2 linked regions of the Lonchura striata genome follow. The protein of the gene in region 2 purifies or fractionates together with the protein of the main gene of each other region. This does not show direct contact. Links are inferred from orthologs where the notes say so. Each region holds a gene or a part of one and is shown on either strand. Other genes may lie near its edges. The genes, in order: WASF1 and NHSL3.

Region 1 (12,716 bases), on a different chromosome or scaffold from region 2:
ACTACCTCCTCTTCCCTGCAACTCCATGCAAATCTTCGGAGGCAGCTATTCTGAAGTGGCACTAGTTTGCACTCAGTTGACTGGAAGTACTTCACTCCATAATGATCTTAAAATGAAACTCCTCCTATCAAAGAGGTGCCGATGTCATTTGGAGAGTCACTATTGAAAACTCTTCTGCCCCACTTCCTATACATCCTTTGAAGCACTCTGAATCCACTCGAGAAGCCAACTCTAATCTTCTTTGCAAAACCCTTTGCTACTTCATTTGCACAATGGCTGGCACAAACTCATCCCCCTCACATGTGTTTTGAGTATGAGTACAGAATACAACTGTGTGTACATAACAGTTATGCCTAATGCTTTTGTTAAGCTACTATGCTTTCATATGTCATTTTTCAAGAACTAGGTAAAATGCTCGAGTTGCTTTTCAATTAGTTGCTATTACTTAAAAAACTAGCAGAACAAGGCACTAAAGAGAGCTAATTAAAATGTTTTCAGAATAAAAGATTTAACAAGATTTAACCACACTTCTTATCAAAAAAGCAAGTTGTTGAGTGTGTTGCCCAGTCCTCTTCTAATCCCAGTTATTAGGGATCTTAGGGTCTGAATGAGATTTCCCTGTCTCACAGCTCTCAAGCACTGCTGGCAGTAGCTCAGAAACCTTAGAAACCTGCTCTGAGGGTACCTGCCCCCACGGCCACAGCCCTGGCTCCGAGCAGGACAGGGTCCCCGGCTGCTGGTGCTCAGAAAAGGCCCTGGGGAGCACTGGGGCAGGAAACAAGCTACCACCTTCCCTTCAACGCCCTCCTGTAGAAATATTTCAGAATTGCAAGATGTGTGGAGAAATGTTACGTGACTCACTAGAAGCTTGTGAAAAATCTAAGATGTCAGTAGTCACAGGAATGATTTAGGTTTTTTAACAAGTATAGTAAGACAAGTAGGAGTGAAAACACAACAATAAGGTGGGGAAAATGAACTAACCTGCCCCACAATTTAACTAAAAATTAAATTACACTTCAGTTTCATTTTCAGATGACTAACGAAATTTCATGATCACATGGTTTTTATTAACAAAAATTTACTTCTGATTAGGTTACATTTCATCCTTACTAAAAATGTCATTATTTTCTTAGCATTAATCGATTAATTTAAAATAGATTAATTTAAAAATTAATCTATTATTTTTTTCTATAACATGCTAATAATCTAGCATGGAATGCCCTTGCTTTGATGGAGTCAAATTTATATCCAGCCATTTCCAGAATATATCTTTAGACCTCAGTATTATAATATTGCTTGTAATTTTCCTTTAACAATGTGCAACAGCAATGCCTTTCATATGCCCCATTTAATTGATCACATTCCAGCTGCTGGCAGAACAGACCACAGTTTCAAATGCAACAATCAATTTAACACTTCCCCCCACCCACCCTAGGAATCACAAATAGAATATATAATAGTTCTTATATTTGCTTACATAATCCTGTACTAACTGCATCTACGCTATACACAAGTTAATAAAAAAATTTAAATGTGTTAACAAATCTCCTGTACTAACTGCATCTACGCTATACACAAGTTAATAAAAAAATTTAAATGCGTTAACAAATCTGGTAAAATCAGAATTGAGTAAGTTAAAAAACCAAGTTCATCCTCCTGGTAAATTTTCTTTTAATTATATTACAAGACATCATAAGTCATACCAGTTGGAGAAAATTCAAAGATGAAGTTCTTATAATGCACTCCTCTACTATGAAAGGTAAATGTGCAAAGAATTTGTGTTCCTTGTTTTTCTGCAGCTCTCAATGCAAGATCAAGACCAGGTACAAATTTAAGAAGAAACAGTCACCTACAGTGTGGTGTCCCTCAACAAAGTAGGCCACAGCCACCTACTGATGAGTCAACATAACAATTTAAAAATTCTAAAGGTAATTAACATCCCTTAAAGGATATATCTCAGATCTGACAAGATGACAACTGACATCTTAAATTGACAATTCAACAGAAATTGGTTAATTTTACAGTTTTGGTATCCTTTCTGTGAGCCATGTCGTAGAATGGAAAATCTTCTCTTTGGAACACTTCCCTCAAATCTGCAATTCACTTTCAAACATTTTTTTCTAACTTCAACTAACTACGAAAAGACTTTATTGCAACTAAAAAGCATGTGAAAGAAAATAAATGTGGAATATATTACTGGAATGTGATGTTGACATCACTGCTATTTAAGAATGAGCATAAAATGAATCATTTGCATCTTAAGACCTCCTATACTGGATTGTCTATCCAAAAAAGTTGTGACATATTTGTAGAATCATAGAACATCCTGAGCTGGAAGAAATCCATCATGAACATCAAGTCCAACTCCTGGCCCTGCACAGGACACTCCAAGAATCACACCTTGTGCCTAAGAGCATTGTCCAAATACTGCTTGAACTCTGGCAGGCTTGGTGCTGTGACCACTTCCCTGGGGAGCCCGTTCCTGTGCCCAGCCATGCTCTGGGTGAAGAACCTTTTCCTGATACCCAATCTAACCTCCTCTGTTTCATGCTGTTTCCTTGAGTCCTGTCTCTAGTCACAAGAGTTTGGTCAGCCTAAGGAGCAATGCCTATAAAGGGCACAGAATGGAAGTTGATAATTTCTTTTTTCAATAAACCACAGAGTCACCACTAAAATATGTCGTATTTTCTTTGTAGTCACAAATACGAAAAATACTGTTACCCAAGTAATAACAACAACAATCTCTCTAAATATTCTGTTGCTGAACTGATCATAAGATTATTCGGGAATAGATTAATATATCAGTGGGTCACTGAAGGATCTAGCTCAATAACATTGTATAGGAAATAATTTGATTAGCAAGACAGTAATTAACAGATTGTGAAAACCAGTCTACTTCATATAACCATAAAATATATTTAAAATTAATTTGCAATTCTTATTCTGTATTTAATATTGACTGACTTCTGTATTGTATTAATTGTCTGGGGCAATTAGTATTTTCCTCCTATAGAACAAGCTGCAATCATCTCAGCACATCTGTCACATCAGATAAGCAGAAGAGAACACAGTCACATATATGGGTAGGACTTGAGTTCTAGTCAATCTCTAAGGCTTAATTACATTGTTAAAAAATTATTTTTCAGCTACTACCATCCAACCAATTTTCTCTCAGGTGTGTATCACAAGACTACAGTCTCTCCCTATGCCTGTATACATCTGCACACTCATCTTTAAAGAACACAAAAAATATTTGAAAATCAATTTGGATTTGATCACAGACACAGACTACAGCCACATCTACTTCCTTGTCAAAATTTAAAAGTTTAATATTTATTCAGCTAAACAAATTAAAAAAGGGCAATAATTTTTTACTCTGGAAAAGAAAAAACTATATTTTAAGCCCTATGTAGCTTGTGACTACCATGAATTAATATCATCAAAGTGAAGGTAATTTTGGCAAGCTATGAGTGGAAAGAAATGGAGGGATTAATAATTTGTATGCTGGCTTTTAAGAGCTTTATCTCTGATAAATTAACTTTTCAAGAAAATCTTAAATAGCCACTGTCACTGGCTCTGATGATGGCAGTGTCAGCAGAGTTCTCAGTGTGGGCAACAGTGCAAAATACGACTCCCCAGTAGCAATGCAACAAGCACAACCTCATTAACAGGAACAGCAGTGATATTCCAGAGGAGAAAGTTGACATATCTGTTCATAATTACAGGGGTTACCTGAAGGTTGAGAGGGAACACCAGCATATTTTCAGCGAGTGAAGCTGCAATCTGGGTCAAGTCAATGAGCTGTGTCACAAAACACACCATCGTAGTGGGCAGCAACCACTCCCCACCCTGTGAGTGCAGCCCTCAGGGCTTGCACACCATTTCCCATTCTGCTGGGGAAAATCATTTACCTTTCCCCACTACCTACAACCCACTCTTCGGGCTTTCCTCAGTGTCCCCACTCGTCTGGAATTCCTGCCAACTGTGTGTTGTTCAGGCTGCCTCTGGCCCCTTTTGTCCCAGTGTGCAGGTGGGAGAGGTTGTCACAATCATTTATACATTCTCCTCTCCTCTCCTCTCCTCTCCTCTCCTCTCCTCTCCTCTCCTCTCCTCTCCTCTCCTCTCCTCTCCTCTCCTCTCCTCTCCTCCCCTCCCCTCCCCTCCCCTCCCCTCCCCTCCCCTCCCCTCTCACCCTCATGAAAAATTTCACTCTGATCACATGTACAGAGCAAAAGCTTAAGGTATCCTAAATACAAGGAGAGAATATTCAGGTCAATATTGGTTTCTTTTTCCCAATACAAGTGCAAAACGCAATGGGGTGAAATAAACGGCATGTGGATTTTGCAAATCTCGTACCTATTGTTAAGCAGGATTCCTATTCATGAAATGGAATTCACAAACAACTCAGAGTTGAAACAGCTCACTAACTGTGGCTTTTCAAGACAGATCCTTTTTACAAGGGTAAACTCAGCTTGATTTCACATAACTGAAGTTTTTTCCTTTGTTTTCAACTATGATTTTCCAGAATATAAACAAGTATCTACTGATTTGTCAATTTATTAAGCATCCAATGCTACTTCCTTTATTTTCCACTACCTTCCCAACAGCTTCCATCTTACTATGGTGTCTTTTGAGTCATTCATGTGAAAAAAGAAATCCCAGCCACCATTATTGCAGTTGTCTCCCAATAACTGTAAAAATATCTCTGTTCATCTTAATAAATAAGTTATTTAAATCAAAATGGAAAAATTAAAAAAAAAAACAAAAACAAATCAGGTTTAACACTACCTACTCTGAACAGCAGGACTGCTGGGGTCAATAACGCACTAAGCCAGTTACACTTCTGGCTTACCAACAAGATTCAATGAACAAAATTAGATGTAACACTGTTTAGCATGTCTACAGCAAGAAACATTTAGACTTACAAATTTCCCTCACATTAGGTATGTTAAGCAAAAATAGAAATAAGAAAATTATAATCCACATTTTTGTATAACATCTTAATTCCAAAATGCATATAACATAAAAAACACAGAATACACAAAGACTAAAATTTCTGATGAAAAAACTCTCTATGGTCTATTAAAAATTAAAATACACCCTTAAGAATTTCCAGATGTTAGATGTGAATTAATTGGTGTTTAGGCTTGGTTTTCGTTATAATTCTACTTCTTAGTATCTTGAAACTAAAACTTTTGTTACAGGTATGATGACCCAATCTTTTAATGACCTGTTTTATTTTAAAGTTACAAACCAGTAAATAACCAGAAACCAGATAGAATAGAATTGTATTCTTCAAATCCAAACCCTAAAGGCACAAAATACTAATTATCAATTTCTTTCCTTCTATATAGCACTAAATTACAGTGAAGACTTATAAAATAAATCTTGTGAATTGTTCCCAGAAAAGATGAGAATCATTATACCCCAACCAGCAAAAATTGCAATGATATTTTACAATAAATTAAAAAAAAATAAATTAAACAAGTGTATCCATGTATTAATGGAGAAATATTTAAGTCATATGGAACCACATGTCACTTCATTGTTAAGATATTAATCAAGAAAAAATAGTGACTTCGTGATCTTGTATTTCTATTAAGCTTTCTGAAGAAGTTAATTTAAAAATAAAGAGCAGATGTACAATATATTTGCATAACATACATGTACAGACACATATGGCTACCTCGAAATAGAAGTATTTTAAATTGTCATATGTAAAATTAGAAAAAGAGCTGCAAAATTTCTGGTCAGCATTACTAAATATTATTCAGAAGTCTGCACTCATTAATTTTCTCCTAGTGAGCTCCTGTCAGGTCATTTGATTAATAACAATTTTGGAAGTATCCAGGGTTCTAATTTAGGTACAGCCAAGAATGCTTAAATTAATTTTTGATTACAAGTTTTTCTCTTTTCCCCAAAGGCTAAAAATGTATTAATGCATAACATAGTATGGAACTTGAAATTGCTTTTTGAGACCTATGTTTTATCTGATGACATTTTTTCTCTCTGCATTAATCTAGTCTTCCTGTTAACAGTTTCTAGGTATAGTTTATAACACAAAAGCCCTAAGATGGATTGCAACAAAAGATCTTTATTATAGACTTGACAGAGACAGATAACTAATCCAGTATTAATTTAAAATCAGAACCTTAGTACCAGAACTAAAGGTACCTTCTCTGTGGTTTGAACATGCTACCTTTGAAAATTTTCTACAATTTTCCTTGAAAATAAATATTCCATACATAAACAGTTACCTCTGTTACATAGTCCTTTGCCAATCCAGGACAAGACCTATTACAAACACTCGTAAATTTTAAACAATCTTACAAAATCTACCAAATGCACATAAAAATCTATGCCAATACACAACAACGTGCTTTTGAACGGACAATATTTTGTGGCAGCAAATGATAAATATTTAAAGGAATGGTACCTGAAGTGCCTGGCTGCCAAGCCAAGCAGCCTGGTGGGTACCGGGGGGATGAGGTGTTGCAGCCTGGCCACGGCGCTCCAGGGCTGCGCTCCCATCGGCACGGGCCGGACAACTTGCACAGCTCCCCACTCGCAGGGAGCCCCAGGCTGGGGCTCTGCTATCGCAGCCAGCACCTCCCACGCTGCCCCTTCCACACAGGCTGGCTCTTGCACCCAGGCATTAGAATTCAGCACACAGTGCCCTGCCCTAACAACAGGGCTGTCCTTACAAAGGAAACACAGGCATGCTCCCAAACTGCCCTTTTTCTCCAGACACAAGTAGAGAACCCCCTGAAGGCAAGTGATTAGGAAATAATTGTTCCTTTGGTACCAAGCTACAACGGGTAAATATTAAATTATGATGTGCCAAAAATGAAAGAAACGAGTTGCTGTGCATTGATGAGGAAAGGAAGGAAGGGGAATACAAGAGTCTGGGCATTGTGTTGCTATTACTGATGAATCTGAGAAAGGAATTGCATATTAATCAAATAATAAATGATGTTGGGAATCTACAGTAGTAATTAGGCCAATGTGCAGAAGGCTGTGACTAAGAAACATCACACAATGAAGGCGCTACTTAGGAAGTTCCTGTATTTAATTCAGCAGTGCTACACACTATATTAACTAGTACTCCCTTATTAAACTTAGTTACAGGTGTCAACAATGACTATTGGCAGCTTTTCATGCCTCAAAACATTAGAGATTTGAAGAAGTGGTGTTAGCACTGCAAGAGCCACGAAGGAGTCGTGTATTTAAGAATGAAACCTTCCCTGCACTTTATGCTACGACACCAAGTGCCTAAATGCATTTTATGCTTAGATACCTAACACACAAATGACAGATTATTTGGTTTGATTTTCTTTTTCACAGTTTTAAAGAAAGAATTAAGATATACCAGCTACCAAGTGGGATGTAAAAATGTGTAATAATCATCTTATTACTACTAGCTGAGCTTCTCTGTAGATTAATTTCCCCCTCTTGTGAACAATGAAATTCCTGAGAAGAGGATTTGTTGCAAAAAATGTCAATGCAGAAAAACATATTTCCCTGTCTACTGCCGTTTACGTTACTTAACGTTTGAAGAGCCATGCTGCAGAAAAAAGGTATTAACATCTACAGAGAAATTGTTTGCTTTTGAACTGAAATATTATTAAATATTTCACAGCCCAAAAACACTGATGATGATTTAATAATGATTTTCATTATTATAATATATAAAATATAAAAAACCGACTATTTCAATAATGATTTATACTGTGGCAGGCTAGATCATTACATAATTCACCTGGTGTAACAACAAAAGTTATTACACCAGATGAAGTGAGTTAAAGACTTGCTAAGCTAAAGACTAGAGCACTCAGATGTGCCTGTTTTCAGATGTGCCTGTTTTCTACACAGTAGGTAGTGTCATTTGGGACAATAAGTTTTCCATTCAAATATCATCATTTGAAATAAGGTATTTCCAGTAATTTCTTGGGTAACCTCTTACAACCAGCTACACACCACACATGAAAATGTGTCCATTCCCCCTCTTTCTCTGAGCTTTGTTTCCCTATACTTTCAGATTACATACATTAATTATTATTTCTCATTGTTTGTAACATTTAGGTATTTAGAGATGCCACACACTTTCTGTGCTATGAATTCTACTAAGTCATAAATTTCTGTTCTTACTTAGCAGAAAAAAAATAAAATTGAAGGATCCAGATGAGGACCATGAGGTGGATCACAGGGCTGGAGCACCTCTCCTGTGGAGACAGGCTGAGAGTTGGGTTGCTCACTCTGGAGGGAGAGCTCCAAGGAGATCCTACAACACTTTCCAGTACCTAAAGGTGGCTGCAAGAGAGCTGGAGAGGGACTTTCTACAAGGGCACGTAGTGATAGAAGAAGGGAGGATGGCTTTAAATTGAAAGAGGTATAATTAAATAGATATTTAATGTTTAGATTAGACATTAGGAAGAAATTCTTCACTGTGAGGGTGGTGAGGCACTGGGACAGGTTGCCCAGAGAAGCTATGGATGCCCTATCCCTGTAAGTCTTCAAGAGCAGGTTGGATGTGGCTCCAAGAAACATGGCCTAGGGGAAGGTCTGAAACTAGGCTATCTTTAGAGGTCTTCTCCGGTACAAATCATCTTATGTTCTGCGAATACTTTTAATTATGACATCATTTGTTGCTATTGCCTACTCTAAATTTGCAACTGCATAAATTCAATCTTGCAAATTCTTTTTTCACCGAATTAAGTTTCTTGTTTGGATGTCCTTTGCAGGTCTGAGCTCCAGACTCAAACTCCTGGTCCTTTAAGTAGCTATTCTGGAATGAAATGAGATTCTTTACAGGATGACATTTAGAACTTGCAACAGGAAGTTTTTTCCTATTAGCCTGATTTATATGACTTCCAGTAGATAAATACATTTTTACACAAAATCAAGGAAACTAGTCATGTGAATATTTATTAAGAAGAAATGTGAGCTATTTTCCCTTCTGTCATAACACCGATGAAATATTATATAAAAAAATCAGTATACATTCAGAAAATTTTTGTAGCAAGTAGGGATTACATGCATGAAGGTTTTTAAATGTGCTGTATTTTAATAAATTAATTTTAATATTCCATTGTTTCTGCAAGCCAAAATTTAAACACTTTAAAATATCTCATAAGGAAAAACTCATTTGCTAGACAAAATTAGATTTCTTTGTAATTCTGTAAGAAGCATTTAAAGTCCTCATATTTACATAAGTATTTTCCCCTAAACTTAAATGCTCAAGTTAATTATAGCCAGCATTTATTTTCACTGTCCATGCCTGAGTTTGAGCAATATTCTTAATATGAAATGAATAAATATTGGTGAGAAAACTAATTTTTTTGTGAAGATTAGAACTAATTAAAGCTAGTCCTCTCAAGGCGTTTGTGTCATGGTTGATTGTGAGCTTTAACTAAAGCTATTCCATAATTGGGATATCGGTAGAATGCCTTCCCTCTCTGGTTTCCTCTGGCTATTTACATGTAAACTAACACTGTTACCTTTCCATTGCCCGTAATATTTGCAAAGACATGCATTTTAACAATATGTACAGGAGCTCAACAACGTTTCAAATATTTTATTCCTATGACCTTTCTCTTAAATTTGACAGTCATTTAAAAATATTGAGATGAAACAGGAATCAGAAAAACAGACAAAGAATGACTGCATTCACCTTCTTTTCTTGACTCCAAGTTTGGAAACTTGATTAAAAAAAAATTTAAGTTGGTTTTGTGCTATGCATCAATCATTATTTAAAGCTAGCTTAAATAACTGAAGGCACAAACATGAAAGAAGAACATTTTGAAATACACACATCTTTGTACTTTATGCTTGGAAATACAAAATACATGCAAATGAAAACTACAGTCTGCAAACTGGAGATGCCATTTCAGTTTCAAGCAGAGAGAAATTAGGCCCATTTGGAAGCTTTTCAAGGGAACTTCACTGGGTCAGGAGAGTGTGTTCAATTGTGCACTCACCTTACATCAGAACTTCTTAATAGAGAGACAGTAAAGGTCCACCTTCATGGTTTATGGCATCAACAGGATTAAGTCACTATGAGCAAAAAACCTGCAGGTACATATTTATCAAAGAAAAGAAGGTGTTCTCAATCTGGAGGGAAAACACCCTCAGGCCCATTACACGTGACAATCATAGCACCTTCTATCATAGGGGAAACACTGACTTAACACAGATCCCTGTTGGCTCCTCTGAGGTAGTCAAGAGACCACATAGAGGAAAAGAAGGTAAATCTGTTAATTCTTTATATAATACAGCAAAAAGATTAGCCCAGCCAGCCACAAGGAAGGGCAGATCTAATAAGGGAGTTAATAAAGTTAGCTCTTTCTCTCTTAACAAATATTTAGCAGAAAGTAGATAGTGAGAGAATAGGGATGTAAAATGAGATTATCTTTAGCTGTCTCTACAGGGAGCTCTGAAAAGATAGCTTGGAATTTTTAGACTTTGAACTAGTACATATAATTATGAAGTAATAAAGATGCCTCAAAGGTAGATAATGTAAGAACTCAATAATTTTAGTAATTCCTTTTGCAATTAAGATATGCTAACTGTAAAAATTCAGAGAATTTAGGACACAGTATTAGACCAGAACTGTATAAAATACTACTTATCAAATATTGGTGTCATCAAAATACTGGTTTCAAGCATAGGAAAAGATAGGAAATGGACGTGTCTGTGAAGGCACCAACAGTTGCTTCAGCTTCCAACTGCTCTGACGACAGCAGCTGGAAATCATCATAGCCAGCTCAATGCTGGAGTTTCCACAGAATGCCCAGAAATCACAAGTGCCTAAAAAGAGCCAACCATTTCACTCACTTTTTTTAGCTTTTTTTAAACCAAGGACATACAGCACAAGCCGGAAATCAAAATGGCCTCAATGGGCATCAGGTTAACCCTATCTACCCTCTTTGAAGCACAGGCACCAAAGGTCCGATGATTCTTGCTTCCTGAACAACAGCCTGATGTTTGAAGAACTCCCTCGAGAAATGGAAAGACTGACTAAAGGATACACACAAGATTAAGAGGAATGAATTCATGCCTCCCTTACTGCAGTAATCAAAAGCATTAGGCCACAGAACACTTTAGTGTGAAGGCACTTGAAACAAAGCAAGCAAACAAGGGGAAGTCAAATCTTTTGCAGAAACTGGGATATTAGCTGCAAGTGGCAGAACTTAGATCCCGGAGCTTAATCCCAGAAAATAATTATGCACTTAAAACATACATATTATACACACACACACACACACACACACACACACACACATATATATATATGTGTGTGTGTGTGTCTGTGTGTGTGTGTATACATATATATAGTCATTGGATAAAACCATTACATATATAGTCATTAGATAAAACCAGTTTCAGAATTATTGAATATTAGATATGTGTCCTTACAGCTGAATGTCCTGGTCACTTGAAAGGTACTTTTCCATTTTTCCTCTATTACTTAGCTCTTTCTCCCCTAGAAATGGGAAGACATGGGTTTAAATCACCTGTCTTGAGTGCTGTACACATATTTTTCAGTGCTCTAATACAGCATAACCAACCAAATGTTTTAAGTCAGAGACAGTAATGATCACTCTCAGAAGAGATGAAACTGGTCATAGATCTAATCCCAAAGGCTGTCTTTTCAAGCTTCCTTTGGGAATAATAGAGAATTTAGGAGGCTACCCACATACCTAGACAAATTAAGCACTTCTAAGCATGTGTGGGTGACTTAAGTTAAATGTCTCAATTAGGCAGAGAGGAGCTTAAGATATTTATAAACACAGCATTAAGTAGTCTTGGAAAATAAACAGATTTTACTGTCTGTGATGTATACATTTTGGGTAGGACATATCATTCTTAAACCACAAATCTAATCCTATGTAATACAAAAGACAATGCTGTATAATCCTATTTATTAACTAATCAAGCTCCACCTGAAATCTAGTTACAGCCTTGACCCTAACATTAAATGGAATACAATTCACTCAGTTGATGACAAGAGACAATATATGAATTCCATTATAGATTAATAATTAATACTAACTTTAAAAATTCTCTCTGACTGTACTTTTATATGTTATTATCCTTCCTGTTTTACATAACTAAAACATATTATAACCAAATTTAATTAAAACCAGGAAACAGTATGCCTCTCTGAGGGAAGACAAGTTGTACAGTCAAGGAAGTTCACAATACTTTGATTAACAGGTCAGGAGGTGTTCTTTGGATATTGATTCAGGTTATTTTATTAACTTAAGATGAGAAAAATGTCCAGGAATCTGGAATTAGTACATTGAAATACCAGCCAGGAACCCACACAATTTGAAGACATCCCAGAAAAAGAATGGACGTGGAATGGAAACTCACACAGGATTCAGCATAAGGATGGGCTGTTATTTGGCACAGAATACCTGAGTCACTTCATGTGTGGGAAGAGGATATAGGCTTGGAGGTGTTCAAAAGACACGTAGATGTGGCACTTGGGGACATGGTTTAGTGATGCCCTTGGCAGTGTAAGGATATTGATTGGACTCCATGATCTTAAAGGTATTTTGAATCAAAATGATTCTATGATTCATGCAAAAATTCATAGAAATATTCATCCAACAAATTCAGATAGTCTTTTTGTAAGTAAAACTAGCAAAATTAATTGATAAAAATAATATTTCTATGTAGTAAAATTCTGACTTCAATGATAGTACAGAATA
Region 2 (12,630 bases):
GCCGGGCTCCTCTTGCGCTGCGCGTTGCCCATGAGGCCGCTGCCGCCTCCACCGCGGCCGGGTGGAGGGCACCGCGGTGCTACATGGCCGAAGCGAGCGGGCTCCGGCGCGGCCCCGGCGGATCGCGGCTCTCAGCCGCCGCTCCCCATCGCCCCGGCCCCGGCGGAGCGCAGCGCTCGCAGGCGGCCGCGCCGGAGCCAATGGTACGGGCAGAGAGAGAGGAGGGGCCTGGCGGGATGGCCCGGCGGATCGCACAGCACCCTCCCAAACCCATCCCTCCGCCGGGATGGGATGCCGCGGTGATGCACGGGCTCAGGGAGACGCCCCGCTGGCCAAACATCCCCGAGTCGGGGATTTCACCTCCAGAGGATCGCAAAGCACCCTCCCAAACCCATCCCTCCTCCGGGGATGGGATGCCGGGGTGATGCACAGGCTCAGGGAGACGACCCGCTGGCCAAACATCCCCGACTGGGGGATTTGGCCTCCAGAGGATCGCACAGCACCCTCCCAAACCCATCCCTCCGCCGGGGATGGGATGCCGGGGTGATACAGGGAGACGCCCCGCTGGCCAAACATCCCCGAGTCGGGGATTTCACCTCCAGAGGATCGCAAAGCACCCTCCCAAACCCATCCCTCCTCCGGGGATGGGATGCCGCGGTGATACACGGGCTCAGGGAGACGCCCCGCTGGCCAAACATCCCCGAGTCGGGGATTTCACCTCCAGCGGATCGCACAGCACCCTCCCAAACCCATCCCTCCGCCCGGGATGGGATGCCGGGGTGATACAGGGAGAAGCCCCGCTGGCCAAACATCCCCGAGCCGGGGATTTCGCCTCCAGCCGCGCTCGCAGCTCCCTGGATTTCGCCACGCTGCCGCCACCGCTTCTGGCCGTGCTCATCTCCAGCAGCCGCCGCTACAACCCTCCCACCTCGGTGGGGTTTTTTTTGGGGACGGAGAGACCTCACGCAGCCCACCCAAGGTTAGGACAGGACTACCAAAGCGCCCGAGGCCAGGGGCTGGGTCCTGCCGCTGTGCCCAAAGTCAGGGCGAGCAGCCACATGCCAGCCCTGGCGTGGGTGGCAGCCCCTGCCGCCCTCGCCACGGCCACTCCTGCCTCTGGGGCGAGTCACGAGCACTTTGCTCACACTGCCGGCACCTTCCCGTCCCTCTCCGGGAGCACCTCGGCCTCTCCCGGCCCCAATCCCTGCTCTGCCAGCAGCCAGGGAATTGCTGGCCACGGGAATTGCTGCTCCAAGAGCTGCCCGAGCCACCCGGACAAGCGCCTCCCTTCACGGCCCCTTCCCCAAGGCCACTTTTCCCTCCTGATTTTTAATTAGAACATTAAATGCTGCCAGGGCAGGGAGGGGTCAGCCAGGCAGGCAGTGGTGGGCAATTCCTGCTGGCAATGTTTATGTTCCTTAGGTGATTCATCAAAGGCTGGGATAAATAGGAAGGAGGGTTTTGTGGGAAAGGCACAAAAACCGGGGAGGTGGTGCAAGAAAGAAAGGAAAAAAAATTAAAGATCAACCAGCAGCTTTGTCCTGACCTCCCAAGGTGATCAGCACCGAATTAATCTTTGGACTTCAGTCTCCTCAGTAATGGAAATATTGACGGTTCAGCTCCTCACCAGCTTGGTTGGGTGCCCAGGGCACGCTCAGCTGGGCAGGGACTGACTGTGGGTTTGCTGCCCCATCTGCTGTGGGAGCTGTTAAAGAGATGAGGGGATCCAGGGGGAAAAAATTCCCTGTTTTCCACTCCCGGCTGTGCCCTGTTCACAGGACAGCCTCGGGGCAGCGGGGATGAAACAAGGCCACGGCCACACGGGCAGCAGGTCAGAGATCTCTGCCCGGGGACTGTGGGACAGCAGTTCTCCTCTGCTCAGCCAGGGGCAACTCCAGGCTGGTATGAGGCTTCCTCCCACCACCCCAAAACACGGGATGGACATCCTCCTCTGACCCCTCTGCAGCCCCCTGGATCAAACCCCCGGGTTCAGCTCTTGTGTTTCTCTCTCTGGGAGAAGCAGAGAGGCTGGAGCCTGCCCCAGATCCAGGCAGACACTTCCCCCTGCACTCCCAAAACAGATCCCTCCGTGCCAGCATTGCTCAGGGAGCCGAGGCGCTGCCGCCCCCGGGCTCAGCCCGGGATTTGGGGCAGAGCCCCGGGAGGGAGCGTGGCCCCACGCGTGCCAAAAATACCCAGTGGCTGGGGTAACTCACAGCCACAGCTCCAGCTCCTCCTGGGCCCCGTGGTTCTGTCCCTGCCGAATTTGGGGGGCTGGGAGCAGCGTGGGGGGAGCTCCAGCATCCCCACAGACCCCACTGAGCTGCCCCACTGCTGCTCCAGGGCACAATCCCCCCTGAGGTCTGAGGGCAGGCAAGCTCTCATCCTGCATCCACAGCTGGCTGGTGCTGCTGGGAGCAGAAACCTGGCTCAGGGAGCCTGGGGGGTGGGGACAGCTGTGGGGACAGCTGTGGGGACAGCTGTGGGGACAGCTGAGCACCCCAATTTCCTGCTCCATGTTAGAACCTCAGTACAGCCCAAAGGGGAGGGGAGGGGAAGGAGGGGAAGCACCCTCAGCCTCCCCAGCAGGTGAGAATGGGGAGCTGGGGGCCACAGATGCTGATTCCAGGCAGAATTTCTTCTCCAGGCCAGAAATCCCTGGTTTTATTCACTGAGAGATCTCTGATAAAAGCAGCAGAGAAGCTGTTCATGAGATACAGATCTGGCCAGCACAGCGTGACTGCCCCAGGCACATCTGATCTCCCCAAAGTCACACATTCCCTTGGCCAGAGCGGCCAGTGCAGGCCTGGGGACACCTCTGTGCTGGCACAGGGGACAGATCTGTCCCTCCTGGTCCTCTGTCCATCCCTCCTGGTCCTCTGTCCATCCCTCCTGGTGCTCTGTTCATCCCTCCTGCTGCTCTGTCCATCCCTCCTGCTGCTCTGTCCATCTCTCCTGGTGCTCTCTCCATCCCTCCTGCTGCTCTCTCCATCCCTCCTGGTGCTCTCTCCATCTCTCCTGCTGCTCTGTCCATCCCTCCTGCTGCTCTGTCCATCCCTCCTGGTCCTCTGTCCATCCCTCCTGGTCCTCTGTCCATCCCTCCTGGTGCTCTGTCCATCCTCCTGGTGCTCTGTCCATCCCTCCTGCTGCTCTGTCCATCTCTCCTGGTGCCCTGTCCATCTCTCCTGCTGTTCTCTCCATCCCTCCTGCTGCTCTCTCCATTCCTCCTGCTGCTCTCTCCATCTCTCCTGGTGCTCTCTCCATCCCTCCTGCTGCTCTGTCCATCCCTCCTGCTGCTCTCTCCATCTCTCCTGGTGCTCTCTCCATCCCTCCTGGTGCTCTCTCCATCCCTCCTGGTGCTCTCTCCATCCCTCCTGCTGCTCTGTCCGTCCCTCCTGGTGCTCTCTCCATTCCTCCTGCTGCTCTCTCCATCCCTCCTGGTGCTCTCTCCATCCCTCCTGCTGCTCTGTCCATCCCTCCTGGTGCTCTCTCCATCCCTCCTGCTGCTCTCTCCATCCCTCCTGGTGCTCTCTCCATCCCTCCTGCTGCTCTGTCCGTCCCTCCTGGTGTTTCACCCACTCCTTCTGGAGTTTTCTAAACCCGATCCCATCTCCCAGCCAGCAGAGAGCAGGAGCTGAGCTGCCTGAATGAGAAAGGAATTCAGCCCTTGTTCCCTTCACGGGGAAGTAAAGCTCAGCGAGGCAAAGGTAACACAAAAACCCCACTTGAGATCCCCAATCATTAACAGAAATACATAACCAGGAGGGTTCCAAAGGATTTCCTGCTCCAGGCTGGCTCTGCTGCTGACAGGTCCAGCTCCAGCCTGCAGAGGTGGAGGGAGCCCAGCTCCCTGCCCAGGCTCAGGTGGGTTTTATCCATGCTCAGCACCACCAGCCCAAGGCTCCGGCTCCTGCTTGGCAGGGAAATGGTTTTTCACTTCATCCTTGCCCAGCTCTTTGCCTTCCAGCGGGTCGTGTTCCCATCGCTGCCGGAGTCAATGATGATATTGTCTTATGAAACCAGACCTGCCTTCCACGGGGGAAACGTGACCCCGCCGAAATCGTTTTATCGGCTCTTCTGGAACGTTATTCTCAGGAGTCATTCTCCCGCTTGTCTCCAGGTGGAATAGCTGTGCTTGCAGACACACCTCTCTTTGTTCGCCGGTGCCAGGCCCGGCCAGCCAGGGGATTCCTGCTGCTCACATTTTCTGAAGTGTCGCTCCGTGCCTCTGGCAGATGAACCAACTCCTTCCCACACACGATCCCCACGCCTCCCCCCTCTCCTTTGAGCTGACAAGCTCAGGGCTAAACCCAAGCCCTGTGTTTACACCAAACCCTGCGTGGCAGCAGAGGATGCAGGAAATAATTGTCCAGGGAGATTCCACAGCTCAGCCCCACATTGCCTTGAGGGCTCACGTGAACCCTGCGGCATCGAATGTCACCAGTGCAGAATCACGGAATTATTAAGGTTGGAAAAACCCTCCAAGATCATCAAAGCCAACCTGTGATCCAAGCCCACCTTGTCAAGCAGCCCAGAGCACTGAGTGCCACGTCCATTTGTTTCTTGAACGCCTCCCAGTGCTTGAAAACCTTTTCCATGAAGGAATTGAGCACGATCCCCAGCACAGCCCAGCCCCTCCACCCTCTGCTCACCCCGCACATGGCAAATCCCCAGTCCCAACAAGCACTTGCTGCTGCTACAAAGCAGCTGTGAGCATCGAAAGCTTTATTTTTAACAGCACTATCCCCCACCCCAGTGAGGAAATCATTGCTGCTGGACTAAGCTGGCATCAAAAAGGAAAAAAAAAAAAAATAAAAAGAGGAAAAAAAAAATAAAAGAGAGAGAAAAAAAAGCCAACCCTAATTTAATATTTCTGGAACATCGATTCCTTTACTTCATCAAGGAATTAAGAGGAATGTTGTGAAAGCCGGATAAAGCAGCAGCCAAAACAACCAGACTAAAAGCGCTGGACCCCAGCACCAGCTCATCCTCCATCCCAGAGCTGTGTTTCCATCTCTGCACTCAGAAATCCAGCGCAGGGAGTGGCAACAGCCGGGCACCCCAAATCCTGGCTCTGTGCGTGACCCTTGGCACAGCCCAGCTGCCCTCGCTGGGCCTTCATCACTCCTCTGCCTCCAGAGGTTATTGTGGAAATAAACCCAGCCAGCAGTGCAGAGCATCCCGGGGATGCAATTCCAGCTGGGATGGAGCCACCCCCCACTCCTGGAGCCACTGGTGTCCCCTGGGGAGGCAGCTGATGCTCGCCCAGGGGTGGGAAAAAATTCCCTGTTTTCCACTCCCGGCTGTGCCCCGTTCACAGGACAGCCTCGGGGCAGCGGGGATGAAACAAGGCCACGGCCACACGGGCAGCAGGTCAGAGATCTCTGCCCAGGGACTGTGGGACAGCAGTTCTCCTCTGCTCAGCCAGGGGCATCTCCAGGCTGGGATGAGGCTTCCTCCCACCACCCCAAAACACGGGATGGACATCCTCCTCTGACCCCTCTGCAGCCCCCTGGATCAAACCCCCGGGTTCAGCTCTTGTGTTTCTCTCCCAGGAAGAAGCAGAGAGGCTGGAGCCTGCCCCAGATCCAGGCAGACACTTCCCCCTGCCCTCCCAAAAAGAGATTAGGGAACCTTTCCTCACAGCTCAGCTCTTTGGGCAGCCAGAGATGGCATCGCTGATAGCCACGGGCCCCGGGGGATTGGTCCGAAGGGGAAATGCTCTCATCCTCCCTGCGCCGTGATTTCAGTGCTGAGCAATGCCGGGCAGGCAGATGCTCAGGAATGAGCCCCGATTCGGTGCCCTGCGATGAATTCTGTCTTTCCCACCCCTTGGAGCCATCCTACTCCCCCTCCCCACCGCCGGGACGCTCAGACAACCCTGTCCCAAATCCATGAGCAATCCACGCCCAGGGGGATGAGGAACTGCCTGGTCCAAATCCCCCAGCACCACTGGGACCCAGGGAAAGCTGAGGGCACGCAGAGCCTGCCGCAGCTCTCCCCACTCCCCCTCCCAGTGCTCCCAGCACCGTCAATATTATTGTGCTCTTCCCCTGCCCGGAGTGCTCAGGGTCCCCTGGCGTGTCCCAGGGCGTGGATCCTGTGCCGAGACAAGGATTTGGGGAGCAGGTTGGTTGTCTTTAGGGGCTCCCAGACACCCTAAAGACTTGAAGGTTGCAAAAGCAGCAGAGGGACAGGATGCTGGAGACGAAGGGCTGGAAGAATTCCCAGCTGGTCCCGCTGCACGGATGCTCGTGGGGCCAGCGCAGCCTCCGGCCGGGTCAGAGCCGCGTGTGGCACGGCGATTCCGCCGGCTCCGAGCCTGGAGAACACCCGGGGCGAACGCTCCTTCCTTCCCACAGCATCCAGAGGCATCTGACCCCCCCACCCTGCAGGGAAACGTTGTCCCCATCCCGCGGGGATGGGTGCCGGGGCCGCTGGAGCAGGGAGGGGTTCCTGGCGTGCTCTGCGGGCCGGAGCTGCACGGGGAGGGTGATTCAGGCACGCAGGCAAGCTGCAAGCGCGGCACATCCGCGCTGCTTCTCCCCCAACACCGCGGAGAAGAATTTGGGATGCAGCCCACAGGGGAAGAGTCCCCCGGGCTGGGGCACTGAAGGGCTCCTCCATGCAATGAAAGCTCTCCCGATGGGACAGCAGGGTGGCAGTGCTGTGACAGAGCCCTGGCTGGCACAGCTGCCACAGAGAGGTCCCCAAGCTGTGACCCTGACAGGCCGTGACTTGGCATTTTGAGGGTTTAGCTGGTGAACGGTACAACTTCAGGGAAAAAAAAAAAAAAAAAAGGAAAAAACGGGCTGGCAGAGCTGCTGGGGGCGTTTCTGCTGCCAAGAGGAACATCACATGCTCCGGCACATCTCGTTTTTTCTGCTCAGGTTTCAGTGCTGGGCTGTGGCAGCGGTGTCCACACACGGAGGAACCACCAGCAGCATCCGATGGATCGGCCCAGGAGAAAGCTCAGCTCTTCCCAAGCTTCTTTTCCCTTCCCACGGCCACTCCTGTCCTATCACAGATCCCCGTGTGCTTCTCCAGGCAGCACGCAGCCTTGCGTGCCTGGAAATTCACTCCCTGGAGCAAAGTGAGGAAAAAAGTCCCAGCTGGCAGCGTCCTGCTACGCTCGGGTGCCACGGGAGAGGCCTCTCCCTTGGCAAAAGAGCCAAAACATCCCTGCCAGAGGTGCCCTCAGGGAGGGCAGGGCTGTGACACAGACACTGTCCCCAGCAGCGTGGGGTGGGACAGGCTTTTGGGGTGGGACAGGCTTTTGGGGTGAAACCTTCCCTGTTGGGACATCTGCTACTGCCAAAAAAGCGCTGAGGAGAGGAGCGTGACCAGACAAGCCAGCAGCCATGGCTCTGCCAAAGCTCGCTGGCTGAGCCCTTGGATCCCCAAAACAGGGCTCCAGGGTGGCCAAGAGAGGGGACCCAGGGCAGCTGCCCCTGCAGGATTGTCCTGGTCAGGGTGGCAGGGACATGACCGGGCCGTGCAGGCAGCAGGCACGAGCGGGCCGGGCTGAGACCGTATCTGGGCCAGGAAGGGCCACACCTGGAGCACGCAAACACCCTGCCCAGGAGGAGGAGGAGGAGGAGGAGGAGGAGGAGGTGGCAGCGGCTGGCATCCCTCCAGAATTCCCTCAGCCCCAGTGACCTTCTGACTCAGCGCAGGAGAACCTACCCAGTGAACCAGCACCAGCCCTCGGGGCTGGGTGAGATTGTGCCAGGGACTGCCGGATCCATCCTGCTGCCACCACGGCCACCATGGCCCCTGTCGTCACTGCCACCACCGCTGCCACCTCCTCCCCCTGCTGCCACCACAGCCACCACAGCCCCCGTGGTCACTGCCACCACTGCTGCCATCTCCTCCCCCTGCTGCCACCACGGCCACCACGGCCCCCGTGGCCACTGCCACCACCGCTGCCACCTCCTGCCCCTGCTGCCACCATGGCCAGCAGCTCCACCCCACCTGGCCACCACCATGGCCAGCACCCCTGCCCCTCCTGTGCGCCCTCTTCAGCCACGTCCACGGCCACCACCTCAACTCCTGTTCAGCCACCACGGTGACCCCTCTTTGGCCACCTCCAGGGCCAGCAGCCTGACCCTCCTTGGCTTCCACTGTGACACCTCCTCAGCCACCACCTTGACCTCTCCTTCACCACCTCCATGGCCACCGCTGTGACTCCTCCTTGGCCGCTGCCGCCACCCTGAGCCCTCCACAGCCACCACCTTGTCCCTCCTTGCCCACTGCCTTGGCCACCATTGAGAACACCACCCCAGCACCTCCCTGCCCACTCCCACAGCCACCACTCAACGCTTTGCCACCACACCAAGGCCACCGTGGCCACCGCTGTGACCCCTCCTTAGCCACCACCGTGGCTAAGGGTGGGACAGGATTTTTGGGGCTGAAAAACCACCTCGCCACCTCTTTGAGCAGCTCCCTGAAAATCTCCTCGCCCACCTCCTCTGTGGCCACCACCGTGCCCCCTCCTTAAGTGCCACCGTGGCCACCACCCCGCCCGCTCCTCACCTGCTCCCTCCGTCCCTCCCGAGCCGCTGCCGTCCTTGGGCTGCCGCCGCCGGCCCCGGAGCCAGCTGATCGCCCGGCGCAGCGAGTTCGCCCGGCCCTTCTTCCGCCGGGGGGGAGCCCCGGGAGCGCCCTCCGAGCCGCCGCCGCCGCCGCCCCGCTCCGGCTCCCGCTCGCCGCCCGCCGCAGGTGCAGCCCCGGCGGACATGGCCGCGGCGGGCAGCGCCCCGCAGCGCCCCGCACCGCCGGCAGCCGCTGCCCATAGGGCCGGGCCCGCCCGGCTCGGCTCGGCTCGGCTCCGGCCGCAGCCCCGGCCCCGCTCCGGGCTCCCGCCGAGCGCCCGGCGCCGACGGAAAGTTTCTGTGCGGGGCGGGGCCGGGGCTGCGGGAGCTCCGCCCGCACCGGCGCCCGCCCCCCCGAGCCCGCAGGTGGCCCCGGGGGCGTGGGGACCGGGGACCCTCCCCTTGCTGCCAGCGGGGTCACCCCCGGAGCCGCCCGAGGTGTTCTTCCCGTTCCCCGGTGGGTCCCGGCTTTGTCCCCTCGCTCTCCGCGCGGGGAGGGGGCGGTGCGGGGACAGCGGGGCGCCCTTGGGACCCTCTGCGACCCTCTGGGACCCTCTGGGCCCCGAGGTGCTGAGCACCAGCGGGAGACAGGCGCAGGAAAAGCGGGAAGCACCCGAGCGGGAGCGGAGCGCGGAATTCCAGCAGCGTCATCCCCGGGGCGGCGTCCGGCTCATCCCGGCGGGGCTGGCCCCGGTCCCGGTCCCGGTCCCGGGAGAGAAGCCGGACTCGCAGCCGTGTCCTGCCCTTGCCCTCCCACCCCGCAGCTCCCCCGGTTCCTCACCTGCTGGCCCCGGGGGTGACACTCGCCCTGTGTCACACGCTGCTCCGACTCGGCCACACCTGAGCTGTGCCACGCTGCTGCTCGCTGCGAGTGATCAATCAGCTCCTGAAAACGGAATGGCACCGCGGGAAGGGGAATTCAGCCCCCTGGAGAGGCTCTCCGGGCTCTGCCTGAGGCCGGCAGAGCAGCAGGAGCTGCCTGGGAAAGGATTTCACCACCCGGTACAAGCTCGGGAGCATGACCGCTCCAATCTGATCGAGATTAGGTTTCAGGAAGAAATCCTTCCCTGCGAGGGTGAGGGCCCTGGCACAGGGTGCCCAGAGCAGCCAGGGCTGCCCCTGGATCCCTGGAAGTGCCCAAATCCAGGCTGGACGGGGCTTGGAGCAGCCTGGGACAGTTCCCAGTGGGATTCCAGTTCCCAGCGGGATTCCAGTTCTCAATGGGATTCCAGCTCCCAGTGGGATCCCAGCTCCCAGTGGCATTCCAGTTCCCAGTGGGATTCCAGTTCCCAGTGGGATTCCAGCTCCCAGTGGGATCCCAGCTCCCAGTGGGATTCCAGCTCCCAGTGGGGTTCCAGCTCCCAGTGGGATTCCAGCTCCTGGTGGGATGATTCCAGCTCCCAGTGGGATTCCAGCCCCCAGTGGGATCCCAGCTCCCGGTGGGATGATTCCAGCCCCCAGTGGGATCCCAGCTCCCAGTGGAGGTGTCCCCATGGCAGGGCATTGGAACAAGATGACTTTTAAGCTCCCTTCCAACATGAACCATTCCACGATTCTGTGATCCAGCCGAGAGGGGACAACAGGACACAGGGACTGAGCTGGAAGAGCAGCAGGCCGGCGGCAGGACGCGTGGCAAAGCCAAGGGAAGGATCCCAAGCAGAACTCAGGTGGTTTCTGCTGCATTTCCACGCTCCTGGCTCCCAGGGCTTCGGCTCCCTGCGTTTCCTGCTGCCTCTCTTGCAGCCACATCCTTCCCAACGCTCCCAGGGCCTGGCCGCACGCCCGGAGGAGTTTGCCAGCTGCTGGAAATGGCTGGAAGATTTCTAAAGCAAGAAGCTTCTCCATCTCTCAGGCTTCCCAGCACATCAGCATCTCCCGTGGGATTCGGGCACTGGCTCTTCTATCTTGTGGGCTGAGCAAACCTGAGCTGCTTCCCAATAGCAGCAGTGAGCAGGGATGGGAATTTGGCTCCAAATCCAGGGTGATGCCTGAGGAAAGGCTGGGATTTGCTGGGCTTTTGTGTCTCTGCCTCACATTTTCCCTCCTTCACCCATCTGAACCCAAACTGAAGATTGAAAGGAGCACTGGAAGGAGTTGGGCTGAAATTTCCCGGCACCTCTGGGCCTCTCTGTGGTGCCAGGGAGGTGATTCTTTTCCAGGATGAAGGTTGAGCGTGTCACTGCTCCCTGGGCTTTGTTGAGCTGAGCTGAGCTGCACTGAGGAGATTCTAATCCCCAATTAGGCTGTTTGGGTTGACTTTCTGCTGCCAGCTCTGACTTCCGAGTCATTAGCCTCCCAAAAAAAAAAAAAAATTAAAAAAAAAATCCCATTTTTCATTTTTCATCTCTCCCCTCCTCGTGTGGCAGCAGAACCAGTTTGAAAAATATTTCTGCACAGAGTAATGGAGCATTGTCCAAGTAATGACAGGGAGAGAGGGGGAGAGGATCGGTTACACTGCGGGGACAGAGGGGTGAGGGAAGCACAGGAGGAAGGTGAAGAGGAAGGTTGTCCCAGCCCTAGAAATTCCAGGAGCTCCCCAAAGCACCCCAACACTTCATGAAGGGCCCCAAAAAGCTCCAGACCAGCAGCGTGCGGGGTCCCCAGCTGGGTAAATCATTTCCACCCGCGGGGCCAGGATGATGACAGAGAATCCTGGGGACAGCAGCTCCCACAAAAACTCAGCTCCCACGAGACCCAGGCACAGGGGAGGGGAGGCAGAGACTCTGCCACATCCCCGGGTGAAATGGGGAATCCCTGGGAAGCGAAACCCAGAATAAAAAACCCAAACTGCTGTGGGAATCCAGAGCTTCCCTCTGGCTGCCCTGGGACCCTGGCAGGGGTCAGAACCCCCCTGGACAGAGCCCCCAGAGACACTGGCTGTGATCTCTGTCCATGGAAAAGAGTTTTCAATCTTACAGGATCAATTACCAGCTCTGTGTGTTTGATAGCAGTAATAATTAAGTGTGGCACGGGTGCAAAAGTAAAATTTTAGGATTCTAGATGAGGGGTCCAAAGGGGACAAGCTGGAGGAAATTGGGTGTGCCTTGTCCTTTTTCTCCTTCTTCATGCCCTCCATGTCTCACTGTGGTGTTGGCATTTTTCTGTTGGTTCAGGCTGGGGACACACTGTCCAACGTAGGTGACAGATATTGGCACGTTCTTGTAAATCCAGCCCAGGGAGTTTCTGGTATTGAATGTTTGTCACATCCCACTGAGGGCAGAGCCCCACACGCTGCCCTGCAGGACAGAGCTGGGCAGGGCAGCAGAACATGTGAGAGATCAACAGAATAAACAACCTGGAAACCAGCACAGACCAATTATGGCTTCTGCTTTGGCAGCGGGGCTGAAAGACAGAGAATTTTTGCAATTTCGGAATCATCAATACCACGGATTGGTATCAGGCTCGAGCTGCTGCCAGCCGTGCCAGGGTGCAGCCGCTGCCCCGGGCTGTGCCCATCCATCCCCTGCCCTCATTTCCATCTCCTCGCGGGGCATGGCTGCTCCCTCATTCCTCATTAACGCCTCCGTCGGGACAAGGTCCTCCCGCATCCCTCTGAGCCCCGCGGGTGCCGCTTCTCACCCCAAATTCCTTCCGCCGGAATCGCCTCCTGCTCCCGTGCCTTGCCCCGGGGGATGGAAAAAGCCAGAGCGGAGCCCGGGCTGCGGTGACCCCGCTGGGACACGGCCACTGCTGCTGGTGGTGCTGAGCATCAGCTCAGCTGTAAAAATGGGTTTTTAAAATTGGCACGGGAAAAGGGAGGCACTGATGTCCTCGCTCAGGCGCCCGCCGCGTGGAATGGGATGAAAAAACCAGCATTTTAGGGTCTCTCCCTTCCCATTCTGGAAGGGACAGCTCTGGCACAGCCCAGGAGCATCACCCGTGGCCTGGTGACAGGGACAGGTGGCCACAAGAGGCATTTCCTGCTCCTTTGTGAGCATCCTGAATTTTCCTGGGGAGAGAAAAGCCGGTGGGAATGTCAGCACAGCCTCGGTGCCCTGTGGGATGCCATGGGCACATCAGGGTTGGCACAGGCATG

What was found.
Region 1: the proteins of NHSL3 (region 2) and WASF1 purify together in Homo sapiens (affinity purification with mass spectrometry; 3 studies listed by BioGRID and IntAct, with this or other methods). This does not show direct contact. The link is inferred for Lonchura striata from reciprocal best matches to the Homo sapiens genes NHSL3 and WASF1.

The regions. Positions count from the first base shown.
Region 1 is NC_134605.1:69,127,278-69,139,993, reverse strand, and holds the start of WASF1 (actin-binding protein WASF1), read right to left. Parts: upstream 6,533-12,716; 5' UTR 6,532-6,532; coding exon 6,437-6,531; intron 1-6,436.
Region 2 is NC_134628.1:901,489-914,118, forward strand, and holds the start of NHSL3 (NHS-like protein 3), read right to left. Parts: upstream 8,741-12,630; coding exon 8,536-8,740; intron 1-8,535. UniProt on the Homo sapiens protein: Able to directly activate the TNF-NFkappaB signaling pathway.